2 linked regions of the Stegostoma tigrinum genome follow. The protein of the gene in region 1 interacts with the protein of each later gene in a biochemical or structural test. Links are inferred from orthologs where the notes say so. Each region holds a gene or a part of one and is shown on either strand. Other genes may lie near its edges.

Region 1 (3,749 bases):
CTCTGCAAAGGTTATACTAGCTTGGATTTTACAAATTAGTTTCACTGAGTTAATATGAAAAAAACAAATGAAAACATATCTTTTGAATTTAAAAATTGTACAAAGCATCCCAACCTCCTCAATATTCAGCCTGATGCTTCAGGTCTATGATCCTTCGGTATAAAATGTACAATGTACATGTAGGTTGATTAATAATTTGAATATAATTTCTCCGATAAACTGAAAAAGTGTAATTAGTCAAATAGTCGGGGCCTGCCCACAAATCCATGTGAAATGGAGCTTCAAGAGAGCTGAGGACACCATATGTAACTTGCTTTGCCTGCAACAAATGAAGAAAATATAGTAGTAACACAGTAAATATGAAAAATGTCTTTATTTTTCAAGTCGTCAACACGTTACCATGGCCTGACCTTGTGCAGTAAAAATAATTGAAAAGCATTGGAAGGTAGCTCTGGAAAAGTCAGTAATTTGTAATCTGCTTAGCATGCAGTCTTCTGCTACATTGTCAATGCAGTTAAGCATATTTTCCAGATTTTGTGCTGCAGCGTGGAATCCTGGAAGACCTCGGTGGCCTTTATGGCTTCAGCTGTGGAAATGGGTGGCCACTCACCAGATTCTTCAGGGCCACCAGGATGATAACCTTCCTTTTCTTACGTTGATACATTTCGTCCATTTTCCTGATCCTTGCTTCAGAAACGCTGGCGATCATTCGCGTACCTCCGAGTGTGTGTAGTGTCGTTATGTTTGCAAAATAGTATGGCTTCTTGGACATTACAATCAGAGTCAGCTTTTCAATGCCATCCTGCAACAGCAGGTTCTTTGCTTTACTTTCTGTCATTAAATATTTCATCTTTAAGCAGTAAACAGCAATCTAGCAAAAGATAGTAAATCAGTTCCTTTTCATTGATATTAAAAATGTTCCTTGGTGTATATTCATTTCGGATGTGGGTGAGACCATTTTGGAGCTAATATTACAAGTTTGCTATGATTTTGGCTCTAGCATGTCCTGACACCAGTCTGATTGATTTGAACAGTTACACAATAACGTGTGTATACGTTCTGCTAATCCAGAGTTATCAGTCCAGAACTTAGGTTCATCACAGGCATCCTTCTATTAGATTTCCTGTTCTGCCCACAGAATGGCGGATAACCTGATTCAGAGTTTCAAATTATCTGAATTTGACCCGTCATGATTTCATTGTATTTTAATGTAATTAAATTTATTTCAAAATGCTTAAACATACGTGGCTAAATACTTCAAGGTTTTTTATGAATGTTAACGTCAATAATGTTTCACAAAGCAGTTTAAATTCTTATCGCGAAAAATGCTTAGACCATTGATTAATGCTTTTTACTTGCGCAACATCGTTGTATTCTTCAATGGAGATTTTTGAACAATAGACAAAAGTAGCCAAACATAACATAAACCTAGATAATTTAATTCCCCATCTATGATTAGCATCTGCAAAAGATGAAGTATCAGCGACAGTAACTCCGATAAAGCGACATACCACAGCCACATGACTTAGTGCAACAAACTGGGCACCTCTTCTGAAATATTTATTCAATTTAGCGCTTCTGAAAGGAGTTCACTTAGTTGCTGACAAGAAATAATATAGAGTTGGAGTCATACAAGGTATATATGGTCATCTTTAAAAAAGTGAATGAAACATCCCAACCTGCTCAATAGGACTGTGAAAGTTCTGCAATGTGTTTTCAGGGGTGATGACTTAAGTACAACTGGAGCTGAATTCTTCAGTGCAGAGTACTGTGAGCAAATTGCTCTGTCCAAACTCTTTCCACTCGCTTGGTTACTCGATATTTAAACACCCTCGTACTTGCCCTTCGCTACGTCCCAATGTATTGATTTACAGGCAGTTACATCAGCACTTTTCTAAACGACACTAACCTTGACTCTTCAAAGCATTCAGCACGAATGTCGGTCGCTTCCCCCCGCGGCACTTGCCCGGCAGGAGCAGGCGTCACGTTTACCTGGTTGCTGGAGGTAGATGCAGCTTCTCGCCCCCGATCTTGCCGGGCAGGTTTGCGAGCCGCTCCGCTGTGGTCTCAGGTGCTCGTCGGCAGCGGGTCGCCACTGTCACAGGGTTCGCAGCCACGCGCTCCCCCACTGGCAGCACGGGCGATTGTCACAGCGAGGGGCGGGAAGAGGTGGGCTGGAGCGCGTCACTGCGCGAGAGCGCGCGTGCCCGTCAGCGCGGAGCAGGCGCGCCCCCTGGCCTCCCACGGGATCGAAGCTGACGGCCTGGGACGGTCCGCGCGCCGCCTACCCTCCCCGCTCGGACCGACCTTCCCCGAGTTGCTGGGAGGCTCCGCTTTACTGCGCGCGCACACGCAAGCATAAGCGCGGTGTGGTCCACCCGCAACTTTTATTCTCGGCGGTCACGATCCTTACCACCCTTTATTATTGAAGTTTCCTCAAGCTGAGGGGGAGCTCCCAACTTCCCACGCAAATCGCAACTAGCTTGTGACACGCGAAAGCAAGTCTTTACAGGGTTTTTGTTTGCACTTTTGAACGATAGCTCTGCACTCAGCACTTTTTCCAGTTGTAAAATGGTCAGAATGGTTGAACACTCAAGAAACTTACACGGGACAATCCGCATCTGTTAAAAAAATTGACGACTACTTCTCTGCGTCAGAACATTTGTAGTGCAGGAGGATAAAAAGACTTAGTGGCATCGCAGCCTAAATTGAAGTGTCAAAAGCCTGGAACACACAGTACTGTTCTTTTCTATATAAGTACGGCCTGCGGAGTTTGCCACTGCTCGTACCTCGAAGTCTCTACCATTTCTGCCAATATTTGGCTACACCAACTTGGCGTTTTTGCCAAAGAGACACTTCTTGTATCAGGCAGTTAGCACCCAAAGGGTTAACTGGCATGATGCCAATCAGAATCTGAAGGATGGTAATGGCCTTGAAGTGTGTCTATATCTCAGCTAGAGACTTTGGGTTCCATTCCACCTATCCCAGAGGTGTGTCATAACATGCCTGGACGGATTGATTTAAAATAATTGTATAAGGCTGTTCCTGGGGGGAGTTAACTAGTTCTGCGTTTATTGACAATGTTTTACTAGCAGCAAAATGGACCTACTCTTAAGTTGAACCTGATCGTTCACAAGAGACCATCTTGTATTTCAGATGTGATGTAACTATTTAGTAATATATAACAAATGTATTTACTGTTTCACAAGAATTACTCTTTCTTCTGCTGAAAAGATTGTGTAGGCACCTTCCCCTTCATGAACTCAGAAGCGTGGACTGCTACCACTAAAAAAGGTTAGTGGCAGTGAAGCTACTGAGAGCTTCCCAGCCTGACCATTATAATATGCGTCAATAGTGGTCACCTGAAGATTTAATTTAGCTGCCCATTACAGTATGCTGGCGGCGGTGGACATCACTGTCTCACATAATATGATAGCGGCAGTGAACACAACCTGAAGAAATCTTCAGAACTACAAACACCTCAGCCATCTAAAGAAAGTAAGGAAGGCAATACAGTGTGGAGCTGGAGGAACACAGCGGGTCAGGCAACAGGAAAATCAATGTTTTTCAGGTTACTCCCTTCACCGGGACTGTTGGCACCTCCACATCTTGCTATCTCCGAATAAGAAAGGCAAACTCCTCTCAGGAAACTAAGTCTATTTTTAAATATCAGCAACTCAGAAGTTTCTGTCAGCTTCTGTGAATGGAGTAGCCAATAATTAAATGAGAACCACCACTGACAGCAAGTC
Region 2 (3,749 bases), on another chromosome or scaffold:
TTAACTCTGTTTATTCCTTCACAAATGTTGCCAGACCTGCTGAGCTTTTCCAGCAACTTTGTTTTTGTTCCTGATTTAGAGCATCCACTGTTCTTTCGGTTTTATAATATTAAGGAGTTATCTAACTGAAGTCTTTAAGATATTAACAGTTAAAGACAGGGTAGGTAAAGATAAACTATTACTAATGGTTGGGGATTCTAGAACTAGGGGGCACAATCTAAAAAATTAAGACCAGGCCGTTAAGGACAGATATTAGGAATCAGTTCTACACACAAAGAGTGGTAGAGGCTCAGAACTCCATATCACAAATGGCAATGGATACTGGATCAGTTGTTCATTTTAAATCTGATTTGATACATATTTGTTAAGCAAAGATATTAAGGGAAACGGGCAGAAGACAGGTATGTAGAGTTGAGCCATACATCCAGACATTAATGTACTCTGAATGTAACTTTGACCCTAAACTTGGCCTGGGCTCTTCCAGGGAATTCTCATATTGACCTCTAAACTTTGTATTGCCCTTAACCTTTGCATTGCCCTTTTATTTGACTCTTAACCTTTGCACTGCCCTTTGCCTTGACCACAACGTTAGCACAATCCCTTGTTCGCCCTGGGACTGAACCCGACCCTAGAACCCTGAGATGCTGCTTGACCTGCTGTGTTCATCCAGCCTCACATTTTATTATCTTGGAATTCTCCAGCATCTGCAGTTCCCAAATTCCTTGAACACTGTCGCCTCCCTGTTGCCATGGGAGACGCGGCGCTGTAACCACGGAAACCGCCCGTCAATTCTGACCCCGCCCCCTCGTCGGAGCGAGCGCCGCGCCGGCCTGCGTCAGACGCATGGCGTGGTGACACAGTACGTGCGTGCGCGGGTGGCAATCTGGGCGGCTGGCCGGCGCGCCATGTCCCGGAAGGTCTCTTACTTTTATGACCCAGATGTGGGCAACTTCCATTACGGTCAGTGAGGGGGTAACTTTGGGACACAGGGTGGAGAGTGGGAATGGGGTTCGGGTACAGAGAACTAGGGAGCGGGTGAAGCAAGAGGGGCCATATGTAGGGACTGGGGGAGGGGGCGTGTGGGGACTGGGGGGGGAGGGGGCGTGTGGGGACTGGGGGGGGGAGGGGGCGAGAGGGGACTGGGGGGGGGAGGGGGCGTGTGGGGACTGGGGGGGGGAGGGGGCGTGTGGGGACTGGGGGGGGGAGGGGGCGAGACGGGAGGGGGCGTGTGGGGACTGGGGGGGGAGGGGGCGTGTGGGGACTGGGGGGGGAGAGGGGGCGTGTGGGGACTGGGGGGGGGAGGGGGCGTGTGGGGACTGGGGGGGGGAGGGGGCGTGTGGGGACTGGGGGGGGAGGGGGCGAGACGGGAGGGGGCGTGTGGGGACTGGGGGGGGTGGGGGCGTGTGGGGACTGGGGGGGGTGGGGGCGTGTGGGGACTGGGGGGGGAGGGGGCGGGGGGGTGGGGGCGTGTGGGGACTGGGGGGGGAGGGGGCGAGACGGGAGGGGGCGTGTGGGGACTGGGGGGGGAGGGGGCGTGTGGGGACTCGGGGGGGAGGGGGCGAGACGGGAGGGGGCGTGTGGGGACTGGGGGGGAGGGGGCGTGTGGGGACTGGGGGGGGAGGGGGCGAGACGGGAGGGGGCGTGTGGGGACTGGGGGGGGGTGGGGGCGTGTGGGGACTGGGGGGGGTGGGGGCGTGTGGGGACTGGGGGGGGAGGGGGCGAGACGGGAGGGGGCGTGTGGGGACTGGGGGGGGAGGGGGCGAGACGGGAGGGGGCGTGTGGGGACTGGGGGGGGTGCGGGCGTGTGGGGACTGGGGGGGTGGGGGCGTGTGGGGACTGGGGGGGGAGGGGGCGAGACGGGTGGGGGCGTGTGGGGACTGGGGGGGGGAGGGGGCGTGTGGGGACTGGGGGGGGGAGGGGGCGTGTGGGGACTGGGGGGGGAGGGGGCGTGTGGGGACTGGGGGGGGAGGGGGCGAGACGGGAGGGAGCGGGTGGGGACTGGGGGAGACGGGAGGGTGCGTGTGGGGACTGGGGGGGGGAGGGGGCGAGACGGAAGGCAGCGAGATAGGAGGGGGCGCGTGGGGACCTGGGGGGAGGGGGCGAGACGGGAGGGGCGCGTGGGGACCCTGGGGGGAGGGGGCGAGACGGGAGGGGCGCGTGGGGACCCGGGGGGAGGGGGCGTGACGGGAGGCGGCACGTGGGGACCCGGGGGGAGACGGGAGGGGGCGTGAGGGGTGAAATGGGCAGGGGCGCACATTGGGACAGGGGCGTAAGGGGTGAAAGGAGACGGGGGTGTGAGGGGTGGAACGAGAGTGGGAGCACGTAGGGACGGTGGGGTGAGGGGTGGAACGAGAGAGTGGGAGCACGAAGGGACGGTGGGGTGAGGGGTGGAACGAGAGAGTGGGAGCACGTAGGGACGGTGGGGTGAGGGGTGGAACGAGAGTGGGAGCACGTAGGGACGGTGGGGTGAGGGGTGGAACGAGAGAGTGGGAGCACGAAGGGACGGTGGGGTGAGGGTTGAACGAGAGAGTGGGAGCACGTAGGGACGGTGGGGTGAGGGGTGGAACGAGAGTGGGAGCACGTAGGGACGGTGGGGTGAGGGGTGGAACGAGAGTGGGAGCACGTAGGGACGGTGGGGTGAGGGGTGGAACGAGAGAGTGGGAGCACGTAGGGACGGTGGGGGGGGTGAGGGGTGGAACGAGAGAGTGGGAGCACGTAGGGACGGTGGGTTGAGGGGTGGAACGAGAGAGTGGGAGCACGTAGGGACGGTGGGGTGAGGGGTGGAACGAGAGAGTGGGAGCACGTAGGGACGGTGGGGTGAGGGGTGGAACGAGAGAGTGGGAGCACGTAGGGACGGTGGGGTGAGGGGTGGAACGAGAGAGTGGGAGCACGAAGGGACGGTGGGGTGAGGGGTGGAACGAGAGAGTGGGAGCACGTAGGGACGGTGGGGTGAGGGGTGGAACGAGAGAGTGGGAGCACGTAGGGACGGTGGGGTGAGGGTTGGAACGAGAGAGTGGGAGCACGTAGGGACGGTGGGGTGAGGGGTGGAACGAGAGAGTGGGAGCACGTAGGGACGGTGGGGTGAGGGGTGGAACGAGAGAGTGGGAGCACGTAGGGACGGTGGGGTGAGGGGTGGAACGAGAGAGTGGGAGCACGTAGGGACGGTGGAGGAGGATGAATCAAGACGGACATACAGACTGGGGGAGGGGACACATTGGGCTATCAAAAGGGAGACCAAGGGGGTTTATAGAGACTCTCTCCATGGGAGAAAATGAATGGTGAATTGAAACATACCGAAATGTATTATGATAACTGAGGTGATTCAGTGAACTGAGCTATGTGGAGAGGTGGTTACTGAGTGGATCAGTGGCTGGAAGGTGCCAATGGGGTTACGAGCAGTTAGTTATAGAGAAAGGGGAACATATCGAGACATGGGGAACATTGACACATTTATAAGTGGCCATTCTTCGATACAATGTTGGAGATATATGACTTAGTGGTTATTAAGTGTACAAGTGCTGCACTGAGACAGGAGAAATGACATGAGGGTTACCCAAACGTGATGGTGCCAGTAATTCAGGGATGTGGATTTATGAACCAGAGGGAAGATCTCAAATCCCTACCTCAGCAGCTTAGAATTTTAATTAATTTATTTAACACTTCATGTCAGTAATAGTGATTAGAAATTGCTGGAAAGGTGTGAATGTATTAGGTTCAGGATCTCCTTTAGAGAAGAAGGTCTGCCATCC

Evidence for each region.
Region 2: the proteins of pparg (region 1) and hdac3 form a complex in vitro, tested with the Homo sapiens proteins (3 studies listed by BioGRID, with this or other methods). The link is inferred for Stegostoma tigrinum from reciprocal best matches to the Homo sapiens genes PPARG and HDAC3.

Annotation. Positions count from the first base shown.
Region 1 is NC_081364.1:24,842,478-24,846,226, reverse strand, and holds the start of pparg (peroxisome proliferator-activated receptor gamma), read right to left. Parts: upstream 2,201-3,749; 5' UTR 1,993-2,200; exon of another isoform or gene 1,910-1,992; intron 1,789-1,909; exon of another isoform or gene 1,680-1,788; intron 1-1,679. UniProt on the Homo sapiens protein: Nuclear receptor that binds peroxisome proliferators such as hypolipidemic drugs and fatty acids.
Region 2 is NC_081366.1:12,269,054-12,272,802, reverse strand, and holds the start of hdac3 (histone deacetylase 3), read left to right. Parts: upstream 1-854; 5' UTR 855-905; coding exon 906-960; intron 961-3,749. UniProt on the Homo sapiens protein: Histone deacetylase that catalyzes the deacetylation of lysine residues on the N-terminal part of the core histones (H2A, H2B, H3 and H4), and some other non-histone substrates.